Linked DNA regions of Arabidopsis thaliana. The protein of the gene in region 1 interacts with the protein of each later gene in a pairwise test. Each region holds a gene or a part of one and is shown in the gene's direction. Other genes may lie near its edges.

Region 1 (5,144 bases):
CGTCTTCTCATTTCGCATAGACTCAAGCTGAGGAACCGAAAAGATTCCAGTCATTGACTTTGAATGTAGAGAGTGATTGTTTAATGATATCACACATTGGCATTTTTCCAGATTGTGAAGCTGGGACAGCTAAACCAGATCCCACAGCATCCGCGCTTTCGCTCAGAGGACTGCACAATAATACGCAAACACCTTAGATGAAAAGACATGTGGTACAACAACAACAACAATAACCATATTTTGATATTCAAGTTCTGTATCAAAACGATGCATATCTATATTCAACTGCTTGCAATATAACTGAGTGACTCAACTTTGTGGGACTTACTTTATCAGGATAGGTTCATAGGCAGTCACTAAGACATCTGTATCAACTCCCTTAAGACGAATATTTGCCACATATACCTGCAGAATCATATAAACCAGTTGGTGTCTCAAGTAACAAACCCCTTTAGAATAAATAGAGAGACAGAACAAGGAGAAGCTTCATACTCTCACTAGGTTTTGTGCTTCTCTTCCCTGTCTTCCTTTGGATATAGCCTGTAATGATCCTTGTTAAGGAGAAAACAAATAGAAAGGAAAATTATGAGCAAAGACATCATATGTTTATGGACATTACCATCTCTCCAATAGCAGTTGTCGCAACAGCAGAGATGTTTCTGAAAGACAGTCCAGGCGCCTCAATGACCTCTGATTGCTCAATCAACTGAAAATTACACAGCAACATTACTAGATTGTCTTCTTCATATATATCATCAATCTTGGTAAAGATTAACCAAAAACACACCAGTATTAGTTCTATTTCGACTAGTTTCAGAGACTGAATCCACAATAACCAAAAAACAGCCTCACTAGTATCATCACAGGCAAAAAGGTTCCAACTTTGGGAAATCTATACACGTTAAACTCTATGTTTGTACTCAAGATACTAGATGTATTCTAGAGAAATAACAACACTAGTTCTTAAAGTTGGTTTGTCTACCATAAGAAGAGTTCTAGTGTAGTAGTGGTATTACCTGAAATCCTTCAGCATCTTGCTCACTCGCAAGATCATTAAGGAACCAAGAGGCACTGCCAATGTCACCAACCTCAGCCTTGAAATCCAACAACTCAAAAATCAAACTCTCATCTCTTGAAGGATCCACAAACACTTCCTGTGAAAACCAAACAATCAAACACAAATACAGAGTAAACTAGAGATTCTTCTACACATGTACTTACAAACAATGCCACTGAGAATAGAACCACCAAACCTGATGATCTGGAACTTGTCGGATATTACTCACATCCTGAAGATTCACAATAAGGAAGAAATGAGGAAACCAGTGAATTTCAATTAAGCAGCGAAAAGGGTTTTATTGAAAGAACCTGAAATCTTTGAGGGAAGACGGTGGAAATAGCGCCACCAAACAAAGGCCTCACCGAACATAACTCAACAGACATGTTTTGCTACATTCAAAAAACAAAATCCTCAAAAAACTAAACTTTGCCAGAAAAAAAAAATGCACTCACAAACATAACAGAATCGATTAGGGATTAAAGAGAAGAGAGAAGAGTACCAAATTGATCGATTGATGTATCTGGGGAAGTAAAAGAGAAGAACAAAAGTAGCAGAGAAATCAAAAAGTTGGAGTTTAGTATTTATATGAAAGTCAGAATCGAAAGAAGCGTTGCTTTGACGTCCCAACAAGTAGCTTTAACTTAACGCAAACAATTAAAAAAACAAACGATTAGCGTTCTTCAATCAACAATGTCTGCACTCTGCAAATTCACGATTGAGAAGAATGAGAATTACCAAGCGACATCGTTTAAATTAATACCGTAGTTTTTTTTAACAAAAGCCCAGGCCCATCTGTTTTATCTAGCCCATTTTAAACAAATAGAGATAATCAAAACCACTGGGATAATAATAAGATTTAATTTTTTTTCTTCCGCTATCATCATCAATCATCATCATCATCGTCTTCAAGACTTCAACCTTCAAATTCTTCATCACAAACCCTAACCTCCAATTTCTGATTCTACGATTGATCTAAGGTTTTAATCAATTCTTCTATCATCATGATTTATTCCTCGAATTTTTTCCGATTTTCCTTTGAACTGATTTTGTGGTCTCTCTTACTTTTTGGTTCAGTTTCATTTTCAACAATGAGTAATCAGAAGAAGAGAAATTTCCAGATTGAAGCGTTTAAGCAACGAGTCGTCGTTGATCCAAAATACGCCGATAAAACTTGGAAGATCCTTGAACATGCGATTCATGAGATTTACAATCACAACGCTAGTGGTCTCAGTTTCGAAGAGCTTTACAGGTACACTTCCATAGATTTCACTTTGATTCATCTCTTGTTGTTGTTGTTCTGCTAAACTTTGGTCGCTTATTTCAGAAACGCATACAACATGGTTCTACATAAGTATGGTGATAAGCTTTATACTGGACTTGTTACCACTATGACATTTCATCTCAAAGAGATATGTAAGTCTATTGAAGAAGCTCAAGGAGGAGCATTTTTAGAATTGCTTAATAGGAAATGGAATGATCATAACAAAGCGTTGCAAATGATTAGGGATATTCTCATGTATATGGATCGTACTTACGTTTCTACTACTAAGAAAACTCATGTTCATGAGCTTGGACTTCATCTCTGGAGAGATAATGTTGTGTATTCGAGTAAGATTCAGACTAGGCTATTGAATACGCTTCTTGATTTAGTTCATAAGGAACGGACTGGTGAAGTTATAGATAGGGTGTTGATGAGGAATGTGATTAAGATGTTTATGGATTTAGGTGAATCTGTTTATCAAGATGATTTTGAGAAGCCGTTTTTGGAAGCTTCTGCTGAGTTTTATAAGGTTGAGTCAATGGAGTTTATTGAGTCTTGTGATTGTGGTGAGTATTTGAAGAAAGCTGAGAAGCCTTTAGTGGAAGAAGTCGAAAGGGTTGTGAATTATTTGGATGCTAAGAGCGAAGCGAAGATTACTAGTGTGGTTGAAAGAGAGATGATTGCTAACCATGTGCAGAGACTAGTTCATATGGAGAATTCAGGTTTGGTTAATATGCTTTTGAATGATAAGTATGAGGATATGGGTAGAATGTATAGTTTGTTCCGTAGGGTTGCTAATGGTCTTGTAACGGTTAGAGATGTTATGACTTTGCATCTTAGGGAAATGGGAAAACAGTTGGTTACTGATCCAGAGAAATCAAAGGATCCGGTTGAATTTGTGCAGCGTCTATTGGATGAGCGGGATAAGTATGACAGAATTATCAACATGGCATTTAACAACGATAAGACGTTCCAGAATGCGCTAAATTCTTCGTTTGAGTATTTCGTCAACTTGAACACACGTTCTCCTGAGTTTATCTCCCTGTTTGTTGATGATAAGCTACGAAAAGGACTAAAAGGTGTGGGAGAGGAGGATGTCGATCTTATTCTTGATAAGGTGATGATGTTGTTTCGCTACTTACAGGAGAAAGACGTTTTTGAGAAATATTACAAACAGCATCTGGCGAAAAGGCTTTTATCTGGAAAAACTGTGTCGGATGATGCAGAGAGGAATCTGATAGTGAAACTGAAGACGGAATGTGGGTATCAATTCACTTCGAAACTTGAAGGTATGTTCACTGACATGAAGACCTCACACGACACGCTGCTAGGATTTTATAATAGCCATCCCGAGCTTTCAGAAGGACCTACACTTGTTGTTCAGGTTCTCACAACCGGTTCTTGGCCCACACAGCCAACCATACAATGTAACCTACCTGCAGAAGTTTCTGTTCTGTGTGAGAAGTTCAGGTCATATTACCTCGGGACTCACACCGGTAGGAGATTGTCTTGGCAAACGAATATGGGAACAGCAGATATCAAAGCAGTGTTTGGAAAGGGTCAGAAGCATGAACTAAACGTTTCGACTTTCCAAATGTGTGTCCTTATGTTGTTCAACAACTCTGATCGACTAAGCTACAAAGAGATCGAACAGGCAACTGAAATCCCCACCCCAGACCTAAAGCGTTGCTTGCAGTCAATGGCGTGTGTAAAAGGTAAAAACGTGCTAAGAAAAGAACCAATGAGCAAGGAGATAGCAGAGGAGGACTGGTTTGTTGTGAACGACAGGTTCGCAAGCAAGTTCTACAAAGTGAAGATAGGAACTGTGGTGGCACAAAAGGAGACAGAACCAGAGAAGCAAGAGACAAGACAGAGAGTAGAAGAAGACAGAAAACCTCAGATCGAAGCAGCCATCGTGAGGATAATGAAGTCTAGACGAGTGTTGGATCACAACAACATAATCGCAGAGGTCACCAAACAGTTGCAGACGCGGTTCTTGGCAAACCCAACAGAGATAAAGAAGAGAATTGAATCACTCATTGAGCGTGATTTCTTGGAGAGGGATAATACAGACCGGAAACTTTACCGCTATCTAGCGTAAAAAAGTCTGGATTGATTACACGGTCCCTCTGTTTATTTCGCATCGTTTCTTCTGTTAGTCAGCATTTCTTATTTGTTCTGTAGTCTGGTAAGTTATAAACATTTTGTTTCCGTTTTGAAAAGAAAATATTGATTTGCCTGTTATTGATCAAACCCATATACATCATCAAAGATATATAACCAGAGCGAGCATTTGCTTAACGGACTAATCTGTGCATCACACAGTTGCTTAACGGATATCTCCAACGTAGCTAAAAAGCTTGGTCTCTCTAATAATAACAATCTTCTCATACGAAAAGCTGCAGAATTTGGCCGTTTATGCGATGTCTAATTCGATTCTTCAATCATCGGAATCGTAAGATAACTCTTTACACTCAATCCAAAATGATACAATCTCCTTCCTTCTTCATTGAAATTGAATTTTTTTTGTATTGACTAATTGAATCACAGGGCGAGATTTGTAAAGCTGTTATATGTCCTGAAATCGCAGCATCTAGGTATAATGGAATGTTAAAGACTTATGTGTGCATTGATTTGGGTGATTGAAGTAGCTTAAGGTAGACAAGCTTAGGTTGATTGAAGTTTGTGGGACATCAGAATCTGAATTTCATTGTGTAAGTAGCACCAGTTTCTCTAACATGCAATTCAATCTTCAAAGTACTGATTTAGGACTGTGTGATCAAACAGGACTTGACCTCCATGATGGACCTTTGCTTTGACTTT
Region 2 (3,906 bases), on another chromosome or scaffold:
CTGCAATATCAACGCGAGAATCTCCATTATCTCAGTGAAGAGGTGACAATCCATGGAATATTTATCATGAGTACTTCATTTCTGAATCTTGATGCTTGTGATGTTTCTTACTAGTAATTCTAAGTTCAATGCTCTCTCTAGCTCTTCATTGTCTACCCTAATTTTCTGAATTTTCCCATGCTTTCGTTAGAGTGAGTCTCTGACCTCTCTTGTTTTGTTTCAGATTCTGCGTTTGCAGGAGTCCTTAAGTAAATATGAAACGAATGGTAGTAGCACGCCTCAGGTTTGAACTGCTCCATTCTGAATTTTTGACTTCTTTTTATCAGCGTGTACACATTCTAACAACATTCTTAATAAATTTTCTTAAAAGTAATGTATAACTTTTTCCTTCCACTGGGATTTTAATTTTTGCATTTGATAAATGTTAAACTTTCAGGTTGATCTGGCGCATCTTGTGGCAACTCGAGATCAGGAATTACGAACACTATCTGCTGAGGTAAAGCTCGGTTAACAAATGATAAACTTGCAAATTCCCATGGTTAATTTTTCTTTCTCATCTCTCTTTTACCCATTTGGTGGAAAACATATCATAGTTGATTGACATTTCAAGGCTAGTATCCTTGATGTAGCATCTTTAAATGAAAATTGTGTGTCTTGCAGGTGGATCAACTCCATTCAGAGCTTAATCTCGCTCGATCTCTGATCTCTGAGAGAGATAGAGAGATACAACACGTCCGGAATACCAATAATCAGGTTCGAGTCTATCTATAAACATAAGAACATATGAGAACAAAACATACTTTCACAGCATCACATCATGTTTATCATCAACACAGCTTTACCATGAATTGTTTTTGCATCAAACAATTTGCAAGGGCTACACATTTTTTCTGATCCCTGAACTCATCATCTTTTGTTTTTGAAACTCCTGAAACAGTATGTAGCAGAAAATGAAAGGTTAAGAGCTATTCTTGGAGAATGGAGTATGCGAGCTGCAAAGGTACAATCTTCTCTTCTCTCTCTCTCTCTTCATTGTATGTTTTAGAGATGCAGCAATATGATAGTGAAAAATCTTAAGCCAATATCGAGTTTATCGAATTCAAACCCTTTTGTTTACTATGAGAGGCTAAACCAAAACCAACGGATTGTGTAGCTTGAACGAGCTCTGGAGGTGGAGAGAATATCAAATATTGAACTGCGGAAGAAAGTTTCAGCTCTCAGAGACCAGAGGCAGGTGGCATGAAGCATATACATCATCTAACTATATGCAACTCTTATGGCTTGTAGAAAAATATCTTGACACTATTTTCTAACATCTTGATGCATTGAATACGCTAAGCTTTTATGATGTAATGATTTTCCAGTTAATTTGAACTAAGCGTATGTAATGATTAGTTAATTAGTCATATAGTTATTGTAAATCTTCTGGGAATAGTTAGAAAAAAATATATATATATGTTTTTTTTATTATATAAAATAGATATTTTCCGTAATCTTTTTGCTTAAAAATATTTAATTTATCAATTAAATAAATAAAAATCGTTGGGATAATAAAGGAAAAATTAAAATATTTATGTAAATCGTAGGATGAGTAAGATTAAAAAAAGGAAACCTTAAACCGAATTATGGAAATTTACGGGAATCTAATTCCGACGAAAGCCCACTATACAGGCAAAGCCCAAAGCTGCTTTATATATCTCTCTTCTTCTTCCTCTACAATCTCTCTCTACAACAAAATCAGCGACAGCTCAAACGTTGATATTTTTCTCCGGCTTTTCTAGGGTTTAAATTTTCTTTCCGATCAGAGATTAATGGCGACTCTAGACTCCGACGTTACCATGATTCCTGCCGGAGAAGCCTCCAGCAGCGTAGCCGCGTCGTCTTCCAACAAGAAAGCTAAGCGATTCGAAATTAAGAAGTGGAGCGCCGTTGCTCTCTGGGCTTGGGGTAACCTCGAAAATCCTTATACACTATCTTCAATTGGTCTTTCGATGTTTCGATGTTTGTGTTACGATGTTAATTTTTGGTTAGGTTAAGAGTTTTATTGATTGATTGATCTTTGTTTTGGTTGCAGATATCGTTGTTGACAACTGTGCGATCTGCAGAAACCACATCATGGATCTTTGTAAGTCTTAAAACAATCGATTGATTTTGGAATTTGTAACGATGATGTTGAATGTTTATGCTTATTTCGTTTTTGTGTTTTGGTTTGTTGTTAGGTATCGAGTGTCAGGCTAATCAGGCCAGTGCCACAAGTGAAGAGTGCACTGTAGCTTGGGGTAAGCATTTTTCTTCTTCTATGATCATGATCTCAATCGTTGCTTTTTGTTTGGAAACTTGATTTGGTTTATAATTGTAGCTATCGTAATTGTGAATCTAGAAACACAAAACTGTATGCGAAAGTGTTGTGTGAAACAATTTTAGTATCTCTGAGTGCGTGTTTTAAAACTTGACATTGAATTTTACTTATGTGGTAGTATCACTCTGATAGATGTCTTTGCTTTATTTGAGAGCAGACCCTGTTCCTTGTTTTGCAGCAATCTAGATTGGTCGATGAGTAGTACAGTTGATTAGATTTATGGAGTTTTAAAGATTTTCTGAGAGAGAGAGAGACCAAATTGTAGTTATTGTGTTTACATGCTTTCATAGTCTTGCAGTTGATTGTACGATTGATGATGAATTAAAAACTCAGAGGACGACCAAAATAACTGCAATAAGTATTTCTGTATTCTTGATTGCTCAATGAAAGATGACCACTTGGAGGGTGAATCTTGTTAGCTAGGAAGTATTAGAGAAAGTAGGAAGTATTCCTTTAAGATGTATGTGATTGTGTGATGACCTTTTCGAATCTTTTTTCTATAATGTGACAACTCAAGTGGATATACATAAATTATTTAGTGCCTTCCCTAACGAAAGATACTCAATATGTACTTGCAGGGGTTTGCAATCACGCCTTCCACTTTCACTGCATCAGCAGATGGCTAAAGACTCGTCAAGTTTGTCCATTGGGTATGTGTTTCTTGGTTTTAAGCTTCTTGACTAGTATGCAGTTTTTGTTTGTTTGCTAATATTGCTGAGTTGTTTCAACAGATAACAGTGAGTGGGAGTTTCAGAAATATGGTCACTAAATCAACAAATGGTTCCAGCAAGCATGTGTCTAATCGTGAAGACATCAGGTTCATTTGGTTACCACCGCATATGATAACTAAAGATTGTTCAAGTTTTTGCCCTTTTTTTGGTACTGTATTTTACAATTTGTGGAAACAGAGATTTACTGTTCAGTGTTCACTAAACCTATTATGGTTGTGCTTTGGGTGACGTCTTTGATTTCAAAATTAAAAAGTAAAAATCCTGCAAAGAGTTTTTTACTCGTAAAAAAACATAGGAGCTGGGTACCAAACGCTCTTTTGATCCTCAATTGTGTTTTCCTTCAATTTAGTAGTTCCAAATACTAAAGTGAAATTTCTAATAAGGCTAACTCGAAACCCACTTAGATTATAAACCATAAGTTTTATTAAATGGGTCTTTCAACCCCTAAACAAACAATACTAGAGCATTATTTTGACAACACAGATTCTTAAGAGAAACAGTAAAAACTGACCACTTGAACACAACATCGAGGATCAGAAGAGCGTGTACATGGGCGTCGTCTCAGTAAGGATCGTATAACCCAAAATGCTGATAGATTCCAACTGGCTTCTGGTTCTCATTGTACGTCTCAAATATATACGCATCAATTCTACTATTTGGCCTCTTAGGCGTTCCTTTACCACTTGCAACATGCTTCACAAAGTTACCAATGTACGTATATTGAAGAGCCGGTGTCGTCATGCCTCCATTCCCGGCAGAGGGCCACCCGGTCTCCGACACCACCAAAGGTAAACCTTTCACTCCCTCTTTCTCCAT
Region 3 (6,460 bases), on another chromosome or scaffold:
CAATTGGACTGGATATCAAAAGAAAATTTTCAATTTCACCATATGTGTATGATTTTTTTTTTTTTTTTTTAGCGTTTTTAACTTTTTTTTTGTGTTTTAAAGATTACTCAAATTTGCGCTCCAAGTGGAACGAGGGCGCTCCAAGTGGAACGAGGGAACAAATTTAATTTTGCCTCCTAAATGAAAACCAAATTTTAAAGAAGCTACAAATACGCTAGAATTCAGGAATCACCATATGTAATCTCCTGGGTTAACCAAAGCATGTAGCAAACTCTTCTTATATTAATAAGATATTTGGCCGTAAAGAAAAAAAGATATATTGACCTTTGGTTAGATTAAATGGGCTTATGGTTTGATCTAAAGTTTGCGGTAATCACAAATAACTTTAATAATAACACGTTGGATTTTAATAAACAATTTTTCTCCATCGTAGATTTCTAAGTTTCTAATATAGATCTTTTGGATTCACCATTGAATAAGAACACATATTCAGACAAATCAAACCAAAAACCAATTAGACTGTTTTTTCATATGTGCCTCTTTTGAACCTTTTTTCTTAAATGAACAAGTCTAGGCTATACATCCCCTAACCAGGGACCATAAAATTTTATTTCAATTAGACTATTTATCTTGTTGAGCTTTCATTTTTGAACATTGATTTTATATATTTAGTGTTAGAAGAGTTACTAATGTTCTCTTATGTTTTTGTATCATTGGATAATATCAATATTATGAAAGATGACGTGATTGAATGTGTACAAATTGTACTAATGAGTATTGCCTAAGTAAACTTTTTTTTTATTGTCGATGTAAGTATTTTTTATATTGACAGATAAACAACAAATTAAATATCAAAATAATAAAAAATGTTAGAAAAGAGTTTATAGAAAAACTTATACCAATAAGTCAACCTAGCGTTACTAGATTCAAGCTCATTAGCAACATAAAGAATGGGAGCAATCTCAACAACAAGCGAAAAAGAAACAAGTCCACTTTTGAGGTAAAAGAATTTCATAATAATCCATGAAAATAACAATTGAATACATCATAGTTTTCAAATATTTCGCAAATTTGAAATTTCAGAGCAAATTTGAAACACACAGCAACAACAAAAAAAAGATTTTGGTTCTCATATTTGATTTTGACATTACATCGAGGTTAGTTAGACTTCTTTTAGACTAACAATGATAAATAACTTGTGAATTAAATGCAAGATCAACAGTTAGATGAACTAGAAATTTGGCATGAAACCATCAAAAAGAGATACTTAACTATATCAATAAAACGTGTTGATTACGTTATCATCTAGTTTATATGAATTCTATTAATAAATTAACAAAACATGGAAATTTTTTTTTTGATATATTTGTAGATCTATATTGAATATGTGATCATTAAAATCAAGATATCCCAATCCAAAACAATTTTTGGATGAATTAAAAAGTTAATTATCCAAAAGTTAGATTATATTTTTTAGAAAATATATTAAAATTTGTGCTAGGACAATATATCAAAAATAAAATTTTAATTTCACCATATGTGTAGGATTTTTATTTTTAGTTTAGCCTTTTTATTAGTGTTTTAATGAGAAAATAATTTAAAAATCTTTTTGACCAAAAATAACAAAAAAAATGGAAGAAAATAATAAATTCCCTCTGAGTGGAAGGAGGGAAATTTGGCTCCCAAATGAAAAACTAAATTTCAAAACCCCGCCAAATAGGCTTTGGTATTATAAAGAAAACGCTCTCTCCACTCCTGATGATAATCTCAAAATCGTTCAAAGCACCGCTCAAATTCTCCGTCAAATCTTCTACTGCGCCGGTGATATCAAACCATCCGCCAATGGAGAACCATCCCAAGCGCCAGCGAACAACACGCCTCGCCGCCAGAAACTTGAAGCGAAAACTCAGTCACAACACAGATGGAGCGCCAATCGTCACACAACTTATTGATATTGACGACGAACCCATAGATCTCGTCGTCGCGATTCGCCGTCACGTCGAGGTTCTTAACTCCAGCTTCTCAGATCCTGATTTTGATCACGAAGCTGTCAAAGAAGCTGCTGCTGATATCGCCGATTTGGCTAAAATCGGTACCGTACTTCTTCATTTTACCTCTAATCGGCGGCTAAAACTGAAAACGTGTTACTCTCTTTGCTTGTTCGTCCTTGAGTTGCTCAATTTTGAGTCAATTCTCGACAACGGATTCACTCTAATTTTGGATTCTACATAGAAATTGTTTTGTTCTTGCCCATAGTACTTTGATTTTCAGTAAGGCGAGACCTAGAAGTGTTTTTTTTTGGCTTAATTGATTTTCTCATCTGTTTATATAGATGAAAATGTTGAAATCATCGTGGAAAATGGAGCGATCCCTGCTTTGGTGAGATATCTGGAATCCCCTTTGGTAGTTTGTGGCAATGTTCCCAAATCTTGCGAGCACAAGCTAGAGAAAGATTGTGCTCTTGCTCTTGGACTTATTGCTGCGATTCAGGTAACCCTTCTTTCGCTGTTTTTGATGAAATTGTGGATGAGATGTTGTGTAATTTCAATCTCTGTTGGAAGTTAACATTAGAATTTTTGAAATGGGCGATTTGCAACTATCTTAGATGTACTTAGCTTGGATTGATGTATATTGATATTAGCTTTCTCTGTTAAATAGCCTGGTTACCAGCAGCTTATTGTGGATGCTGGAGCCATAGTTCCCACCGTGAAGTTGTTGAAGAGACGTGGGGAATGTGGTGAATGCATGTTTGCTAATGCTGTTATTAGGAGAGCCGCTGATATAATTACTAACATTGCTCATGACAATCCAAGGATTAAAACAAATATAAGGTACTAATATCTCATGATCCTTACTGGTTATGGTGATGACTAGCTGTTTTCACTTGACACCTTTTAAAAATGCTTTACAGGGTTGAAGGTGGCATTGCACCACTTGTTGAGCTTCTCAATTTTCCGGATGTTAAAGTACAGAGGGCTGCGGCAGGGGCCTTGCGAACAGTTTCATTTAGAAACGACGAGAACAAGAGTCAAGTATGTTTTTACTATGATTATGTTTTGTTTAGGCTTATGAAAGGCATGATTCTCACATAATGCGCAACTATGTAGATTGTGGAGTTGAATGCTTTACCCACACTTGTATTGATGCTTCAATCACAAGATTCTACCGTTCACGGGGAAGCGGTTAGTTCTTCATCTTGCTTTAGATCGTTGCAATTGGTTTGATTTGTTCAGTTCTTTCTAATGTACTATGGACTTTCAGATTGGGGCAATTGGAAATCTTGTCCACTCATCTCCTGACATCAAGAAAGAGGTTATCCGTGCTGGTGCCTTACAACCAGTAATTGGTCTACTTAGGTATGCTTATTTTACTTTCTTTCTACTTCTGCTGGAACAGATGCTAGCTCTTGAAATTTTGAATTATGTTTTGTAACTGTTTTTCATGATATCTGCTACAGCTCCACTTGTTTGGAAACACAGAGAGAAGCAGCATTATTAATAGGTCAATTTGCTGCGCCTGATTCAGATTGCAAGGTATGGGATTGTCTCTTTCTTGTTGTACTATAATATTAGCACATGTTATGTTCACTCAAACTCGTTTTTTTCTACGATATAACTGAATGGATTCTAACTAGAGAGAACATATTTAACATAACTGGCAACATGATCATGCAGGTGCACATTGCCCAGAGAGGTGCCATTACACCACTGATTAAGATGCTTGAATCATCAGATGAGCAGGTCGTGGAAATGTCAGCTTTTGCTCTTGGTCGTTTGGCTCAGGTATATATGTTTTTGAATTAGCATGTGAATGTTTTGTTGCTTTTAATATCTGACTCTTTGTAGATGATTGTTAAATCAGACCTTTTGTGATAAAACAAAAATTGTATGTTTTGAATGTTGCAGGACGCACACAATCAAGCTGGCATTGCACATAGAGGAGGCATCATCTCACTACTAAATCTTCTTGATGTGAAAACGGGGTCTGTGCAACACAATGCTGCCTTTGCTTTGTATGGCCTTGCAGATAACGAGGTAAACTCGACTCGCAATGAATAGTATTATATGTAGCTATACTCTTTGCTTACTTGACATACCGTGAGTACTTAATTAATTTTCCCGTCAATAGGAAAACGTAGCAGATTTCATAAAGGCTGGAGGTATTCAAAAGCTTCAAGATGACAACTTTACTGTCCAAGTATGCATTTGACTGCTTATATTTGCAAAACCAATCTAATAAGAATTTCAAACTTTAATTGTAAGTAATCTATTTGCAGCCGACTAGAGATTGTGTGGTTCGGACATTGAAGAGGCTGCAGAACAAGATTCACGGACCTGTGAGTACCTACTTCTGTTAGAACTTCTGGGTCTCAATTATGTTTTGCGATGTTTCTAATCCCCTGATGTCTCAACCTTCTTAGGTACTAAACCAATTATTGTACCTAATGAGAACCGCTGAGAAGACAGTACAAATACGAATTGCTCTGGCTCTTGCACATCTTTGTGACCCTAAAGATGGAAAATTAATCTTTATTGATAACAATGGTAAGCATCTCATATATTCAGAATTTCATTTTCTAATAAAATTTTCTGTGGTTTTTTGTTTCTGATCTATTGAAGTATTACTTATGCAGGAGTAGAGTTTTTGTTGGAACTTCTCTATTTCTCAAGCAATAAGCAGCAGAGATATAGTTCAAGTGCTTTATACGAGTTAGCTAAAAAAGCTACATCCTTTGCACCAGAGGATTCAGCTCCTTGTTCACCCACACAACAGGTAAAAAAATCTCCATTTCTTCTTTCAAGCATCAAATAATTTGTGATTTGAGGTCTTGACTTGTTGTTATTGATTATTATACTGAAGGTGTTTCTGGGTGAAAAATTCGTGAACAACCCCACTATGTCCGATGTCACATTCCTAATTGATGGTATAACATTTAACCCCATTTATGATTCTATAGAATCCACCGGTGAGAACATTCTTTAATGAGTATATCCATGTCCTATGTTAGGTAAACAATTCTATGCACACAAGATTGGCTTGGTAGCTTCCTCTGATATATTTCGTGCAATGTTTGATGGTCTTTACAAGGTAAGCTACTGAATCACGATTGTGGTAACTTATCTCATCAGAATATCATCTAACTAACTTTGAGAACTGGATATAGGAACGCAATGCTCAAAATGTGGAGATACCAAATATAAGATGGGAAGTGTTTGAGCTTATGATGAAGTTCATTTACTCAGGAAGAATTAACATCGCCAAACATTTGGCAAAAGATCTGCTTGTAGCAGCTGATCAATATCTTCTCGAAGGTCTCAAACGTCAATGTGAATACACCATTGCACAGGTAACAAACGTAAAACCAAGGTCTTAATTTTTCTGCACAGAAGGACTAATCTCTCTTGTGTGTTTTTAATAAGATGGACTTTACTTGTGCAGGAAATCTGTCTGGATAACATACCAGAGATGTATGAGTTAGCAGATACATTCAATGCTTCAGCCTTAAGAAGAGCTTGCACGCTCTTTGTTCTTGAGCATTTCACTAAGCTCAGCTCTCAATTATGGTATGCAAAATCATTACATCGTTATAATTTTTTTGGGAAATTTAACTTCTATTTCACTCATCAAGTTTCGATTGATTTACCTAATGCAGGTTTGCAAAGTTTGTCAAGCAAATTATACCTGAAATTCGGAGTTACATGACTGATATTCTCACACGGCCGGTCGAAGCTAGTCCCCCAACCGTCGTATAAAACATATAGGATTCCGGTTTGAAGTAGTTGATTTACTTTACTTAGGTAAAATTGTTTTTCTTTTGATAACCGGTCTGTATTTTGTTACTGCTATATCTCTAATATAAACTGCTTAACTCAATAATACCAAAGAGGCTCTCAAACATAGCTTATAAAATGACTTTTTTTACAAATGGCTGAGAACATCAGACTACAAAATACAAATGGTCGAGAAAACATGGCTCTAAAGCGGCATAGAAAGTTGCTTAGGAAAAATCAAACTCAAAATGTGTAACATTAACTGCAACATGAATACTTCTTGTTACCTTCAGATCTTGAATGCCTTGAAACAGTAACACAAATGTCTGGTTTTTGTCCCTTGTGTTGAAAATGTTTGAACCAAACTTAACAAAAACCACATTGGACATCCATGCTTTTGCCTAATCCTTTTTTTGCTGCATGCATTTGCATAATTTGCATAATCTAAGAAAATTAGTATAATTACTATGTATATAAGAAAATGAGAAAAACATTTAAGGAAAAAAAGTCACAGAGTATGACAATAAATTATGAGTTTTTCAACACAATTAAAGCCCAATAATGAATGAGGTCTCTGAATAGGGCTTAATAAAGGCCCAAAAACTAGTGCCGTCTACGAGAGAGACTGAGAGAGAGAAACATCGTGGTTCGTAAACATAAGCCGCAAGTCTCTCTCTATAAACACCGCC
Region 4 (4,493 bases), about 19 Mb from region 1:
TGTTTTTCTTATGTACTGGAGAAGTTGATTCTTGGATATGTTACTTGTAGGTGTTTGCTCGGATGATGCCTTATGACTTAGGTAGAGCATCTTGTGTTTGTAGAAAGTGGAGGTACACAGTTCGAAACCCTATGTTCTGGCGTAATGCCTGCTTGAAAGCTTGGCAGACTGCTGGGGTTATCGAAAACTATAAGATCTTGCAGTCTAAATATGATGGATCATGGAGGAAAATGTGGCTTCTTAGATCCAGAGTTCGTACTGATGGTAATCTTTCTTTCTTCATCCTCTTGCTTCACGACATTCTAGCGCCAAGTGATTGTTTTCTTTTGTATGCTCTGACTAACATCGTGTCTTGTTATATCTTTATTGATTAAAGTAACTATGTATCTTCTTCTCAGGTCTTTATGTGAGTAGGAATACTTACATTCGAGCTGGAATTGCTGAGTGGAAGATTACAAATCCAGTTCACATTGTAAAGTCTTTGTCTTTTTCTTTCTTTTCTTCTTCATCTGTCCAATACAGACACATATAATAATCTGCGTCTTCTTTTGGAAAATTTGTTGCAGGTTTGTTACTACCGCTACATAAGGTTCTACCCTTCTGGCAGATTTCTTTACAAGGTTTGCACTCTTCGATATAAGTAGGTATAAACGTTGAGCTACTGGTGGGATCTAGTCTGATAATGATCCATCCGTATTTGTTGTTATTCCTTCAGAACTCTTCACAGAAATTGAAGGATGTTGCCAAGTACATGAACTTTAAGGCTTCTAAATCTGAAAATCTTTACAAAGGCACTTATACACTGTCAATGTCGGATGATAAGGTTAGCTCCCTCTACTGCCTTTTGGCTGGTAATCAACAACATTACATCTTCATAATCCTGATTACTGAAAAACATGTTCTTTTTGCAGATCGAAGCAGCTGTTCTGTACCCAGGGACACGCCCTACTGTCTTAAGGATTCGTTTAAGGTACTTCAATCCCTCAAAATATGTGGATAGAGAAGACTTCTTTTTAGTAATAGCATTTAGAACCTTGGTCTGGCATTGGGAAGAAGGCCTGTTACTTATCTTTTAAAGTACCGTGTCTAGTACATTCATCTAAGACTTATCTGATCCGGTGAATGTGATGGGGTTGAAATTTTTAGTAGCTGATAGTCATTTTGATCTTCTTGGTGTGGATATGTTTTCGGGTGTGGTTAGGTTAAGAGGAACAGCTATTGGAGCGAATAACAGGATGGATTTGCTGTCACTTGTGACAAGTGGTGTGAACGATGAGGAAATAAGCAGCACAGAAGAAGACATTCTTGGGTTAGTTGAAGGTTGGGAAGACGATGAAACTCACAACCCGGATATACCTGCCGTCTCACACAAGAGGGGTATGACTGCATTCGTCTTCGTTCCTTTCGAAGAGGTAAGTAAACTATAAATTATTGTATACTCTTCCCACCTATAATCTTAGTTACATTGATTTGATCTGAATATCTTCCTTGATGTTATTAGGTTGACGAATCGGTTCTGAACTTGCCACCGGAGAAAATGGATTACTATGTCACTGGCTAAAGAGACACATCGAAGTTTCTGTACAAAAATGTATCATAGAATAATGTTTTCACGTTATATTTATTGTTACGACAAACATTAGTGTTTGTTTGTTGCTGTCGAATTGTGAAAAACATACATTTTGGGATTTTTGTTTGTTTACAGAGATTACTTGAAACAAGCTTTACTATTGTAAGATAATGTTTTCAAGTTTTTATTATACACCAAAAGGCTTTAAAGCAGGACTTGATCAGATGCTAGACTTGAGGTTCTTGGAATCATCCTCTGAGTGAACCAGACGCTGCCACGTTGGGTTTCGATGAAGAAACGTTTCCTGCAAAACACGACATATTTTCATAAGAATCTGATTCATCTCAATTTTTTGAGGAAAGAAGAGATGTATACGGAAACGTAGGAGCAAGTGGGGATGATGGAGAAAGAGTGTTCAGAGGCGTGTTCGAAAGCGGCGACGCATAGATGCGAAGCTAAACCAAGTCCTGCTTTTGACGGCGGTACGAAGGTTCGAACCAGATCCATGACTTTACCGTCATTCTTCATCTTGTACTCTATGAAGGCTTCGTGATCATCAGTCTCGAATCTATGTCTTCCTTCGTTCCACACGATCTTCGGTTTCTCCGTCGCCGTCCCCGTCGCCATTTTATCTGTTATCTCTCTAAGTCTAAGTCCACTCTCTTTCATTTCAAACCGAGAATTGATTTTAATATATCGTTAGTAAACCGGTTTAATGGATAAAAACGTATAATCGTCGTACACGTGGCAGGCGATGGAGGCGGCAGAGTGTTTTGCTTGCTTCGTCGTGTTATTTGGCGTGAAGTAAAGAGTTCAGAGAGAAAAGGAAGTCAAAACTTCAGAGAGAAAGTGGATGGGGGACACGAAGGTAGAGACAATCTCGAGGTTAGCTCAATGGAGAATTGAAAATTTTGGTCCTTGTTCTTTCAAAAAGTCCGATCCTTTCAAAGTCGGAATTTGGAATTGGTAAGCTTTTCATTTTTGGTTTATTTTGGTAAATTTTCTTCGGAATTTTGATTTTTGTTTGTTTTGGGATATGATGAAGGCATCTGTCTATAGAGAGGAATCGCTATCTATCAGTGAGGCTATTCCCAGAACTTTCTCGAGTATCTAAAGAGCAACCTCCTGTTGCCAAATTTGTTCTTCGTGTCTCCAACGTTGGCCCCAATCGTAGATTCTACATCTCTCCTGGTATGTCTTGTCTTTGAATTGACTTTTCTGGATTTGGAATTTGAATTCTATTGTCGAGCTCGAATTAGGTATTTCAGGAAAGGGAATTACCTTTTATGTGGGAACTATATTCAATTATGTGGAATCTGAAAGATATTAATTTAGATGTTAATGATTGGCTGATGATTAGTAGTACCTTATGGGATGGTTACAACTGAATTAGGTTTGTTTAAGCTGAGATACTCTGTTTATTTGGTGCAGTTTATGAGAAGCTGCTGCGTACAACTGATGATTGTGTGTGGCATGTTGACTCCAGTTTCCACGGTCGATTCACCATTGATGTTGAGTTTCTTGATCTCAAAATCTGCCCTGTGAATGTAAGCTTAATGATTCTATTTATACTCTCACAATTTCTTCTCTTTGTAACATTTGTACTTCCATGGTTGATCAAATCAAATCATAATCCAGGGTGGTGAAGCTTCTCCTGTTTGGCCAACCGATGCAACAATGCAATCAATCTCTACTCAAACCACTCTCAAATGCTTATCCCGGATGCTAGAGGAAAGCATACTAACCGATGTAATCATCCACACAGCCGATGGAACACTCTCTGCTCACAAAGCTATCCTCTCAGCTAGCTCAACTGTTTTCAAAAGCATGTTCCACCACGACCTCATGGAAAAGGAATCATCCACAATCCACATAGACGACATGTCGAGAGAATCTTGCATGGCTCTACTAAGTTACCTCTACGGAAACATAACCCAAGAAGAGTTCTGGAAACACAGGCTCGCCCTCCTCGGCGCTGCAAACAAGTACGACATAACGGATTTGAAAGCAGCCTGCGAGGAGAGCCTAATGGAAGATATAAACTCGAGTAATGTGCTCGAGAGGCTACAAGAAGCTTGGCTTTATCAGCTGGAGAAACTGAAGAAAGGGTGTTTGATGTATTTGTTTGATTTCGGAAAGATTTATGATGTCAGAGAAGAAATCAGCAGTTTCTTCAGGCAAGCTGATCGAGAACTGATGCTGGAGATGTTTCAAGAGGTTTTGTCTGTGTGGAAACCGGTCTAATATACACTTACACACATACTTTGAACATTTCAGCTTGATGGTGTTTTGTTTATAGTCTTCTTGTTCTCTTCTGTGTGTGTAACTAACAACAACTCTGGATTTTGTTGTATCACTCTGTCTAATGTATAGTATTGAGTGGATTTGCCTCTAGTTTGGTGTACCGAGCCTCTCAAATGGGCCGAGCCTTTCAAATGGGCTGTGACTAGGCCTAATGACTGTCGACATCGAATGTCGGCACAAAATATGATAATTTTGTCGATGTTGAAATCGTACGTTTTTTGTTTTAATTAGATGAGTCAGCATCAGGAGGATGAAGTATCGACCGACACGTGTCCGTTGCGTCCCAAAGTAAAGCTTATAACGTGAAGGCATTTGTATCGTCTCTTCCGCCAAAATTGGAAATGGATATCGAAGTTTGAGCTAAGAATCCAATTTAGGGTTAACTTTGCCGGATTCTCAAGCAATCTCCGAGAGAGACAGTGAGGTTTCGATGGCGAGGAACGGGATTGGGAGTTCAGGAGGGAAGAAGAATGGGGCTGGGCAGTTTTTCTTAGCGACGCTGCTTCTTTGGCTTGTCTCCGTCGTGTTTGAGATTGCTTTCAATCTCCGGACGGAGCTTCTCTGGGTGATTTGCGGTGGATGCTTCTTTCAATTGATGAATTGGGTTGTTCGTTCATGG

Evidence for each region.
Region 2: the proteins of CUL3B (region 1) and RBX1 interact in binary tests that used the Arabidopsis thaliana proteins (3 or more experiments, as listed by UniProt).
Region 3: the proteins of CUL3B (region 1) and ABAP1 interact in a two-hybrid assay, tested with the Arabidopsis thaliana proteins (one study listed by BioGRID).
Region 4: the proteins of CUL3B (region 1) and AT1G21780 interact in a two-hybrid assay, tested with the Arabidopsis thaliana proteins (2 studies listed by BioGRID).

Annotation. Positions count from the first base shown.
Region 1 is NC_003070.9:26,201,447-26,206,590, reverse strand, and holds CUL3B (cullin 3B), read left to right. Parts: upstream 1-1,795; 5' UTR 1,796-2,037; intron 2,038-2,134; 5' UTR 2,135-2,148; coding exon 2,149-2,309; intron 2,310-2,384; coding exon 2,385-4,422; 3' UTR 4,423-4,605; downstream 4,606-5,144. Other genes in the region: AT1G69680 (ran guanine nucleotide release factor, putative (Mog1/PsbP/DUF1795-like photosystem II reaction center PsbP family protein)), read right to left, coding at 23-170, 329-405, 493-540, 620-706, 1,017-1,154, 1,254-1,289, 1,369-1,443. UniProt on the Arabidopsis thaliana protein: Component of the cullin-RING ubiquitin ligases (CRL), or CUL3-RBX1-BTB protein E3 ligase complexes which mediate the ubiquitination and subsequent proteasomal degradation of target proteins.
Region 2 is NC_003076.8:6,956,127-6,960,032, reverse strand, and holds RBX1 (RING-box 1), read left to right. Parts: upstream 1-1,721; 5' UTR 1,722-1,811; coding exon 1,812-1,947; coding exon of another isoform or gene 1,948-2,001; intron 2,002-2,074; coding exon 2,075-2,125; intron 2,126-2,219; coding exon 2,220-2,279; intron 2,280-2,692; coding exon 2,693-2,764; intron 2,765-2,937; coding exon 2,938-3,009; intron 3,010-3,090; coding exon 3,091-3,128; 3' UTR 3,129-3,373; downstream 3,374-3,906. Other genes in the region: AT5G20580 (TMEM192 family protein), read left to right, coding at 1-42, 224-283, 437-496, 661-753, 938-1,000, 1,154-1,243; AT5G20560 (Glycosyl hydrolase superfamily protein), read right to left, coding at 3,652-3,906. UniProt on the Arabidopsis thaliana protein: Component of the SCF (SKP1-CUL1-F-box protein) E3 ubiquitin ligase complex, which mediates the ubiquitination and subsequent proteasomal degradation of target proteins.
Region 3 is NC_003076.8:4,141,200-4,147,659, forward strand, and holds ABAP1 (ARMADILLO BTB protein 1), read left to right. Parts: upstream 1-1,710; 5' UTR 1,711-1,758; coding exon 1,759-2,092; intron 2,093-2,332; coding exon 2,333-2,490; intron 2,491-2,658; coding exon 2,659-2,831; intron 2,832-2,911; coding exon 2,912-3,032; intron 3,033-3,107; coding exon 3,108-3,182; intron 3,183-3,261; coding exon 3,262-3,356; intron 3,357-3,457; coding exon 3,458-3,533; intron 3,534-3,674; coding exon 3,675-3,782; intron 3,783-3,905; coding exon 3,906-4,034; intron 4,035-4,128; coding exon 4,129-4,197; intron 4,198-4,276; coding exon 4,277-4,336; intron 4,337-4,420; coding exon 4,421-4,544; intron 4,545-4,633; coding exon 4,634-4,773; intron 4,774-4,860; coding exon 4,861-4,924; intron 4,925-5,008; coding exon 5,009-5,088; intron 5,089-5,164; coding exon 5,165-5,347; intron 5,348-5,439; coding exon 5,440-5,564; intron 5,565-5,653; coding exon 5,654-5,753; 3' UTR 5,754-5,941; downstream 5,942-6,460. UniProt on the Arabidopsis thaliana protein: May act as a substrate-specific adapter of an E3 ubiquitin-protein ligase complex (CUL3-RBX1-BTB) which mediates the ubiquitination and subsequent proteasomal degradation of target proteins.
Region 4 is NC_003070.9:7,650,053-7,654,545, forward strand, and holds AT1G21780 (BTB/POZ domain-containing protein), read left to right. Parts: upstream 1-1,874; 5' UTR 1,875-1,945; coding exon of another isoform or gene 1,946-2,197; 5' UTR 2,198-2,423; coding exon 2,424-2,536; intron 2,537-2,615; coding exon 2,616-2,761; intron 2,762-3,001; coding exon 3,002-3,117; intron 3,118-3,208; coding exon 3,209-3,814; 3' UTR 3,815-3,962; downstream 3,963-4,493. Other genes in the region: FBP7 (F-box protein 7), read left to right, coding at 51-264, 399-472, 567-620, 716-823, 912-970, 1,202-1,412, 1,502-1,561; AT1G21770 (Acyl-CoA N-acyltransferases (NAT) superfamily protein), read right to left, coding at 1,791-1,874, 1,946-2,197; AT1G21790 (TRAM, LAG1 and CLN8 (TLC) lipid-sensing domain containing protein), read left to right, coding at 4,305-4,493. UniProt on the Arabidopsis thaliana protein: May act as a substrate-specific adapter of an E3 ubiquitin-protein ligase complex (CUL3-RBX1-BTB) which mediates the ubiquitination and subsequent proteasomal degradation of target proteins.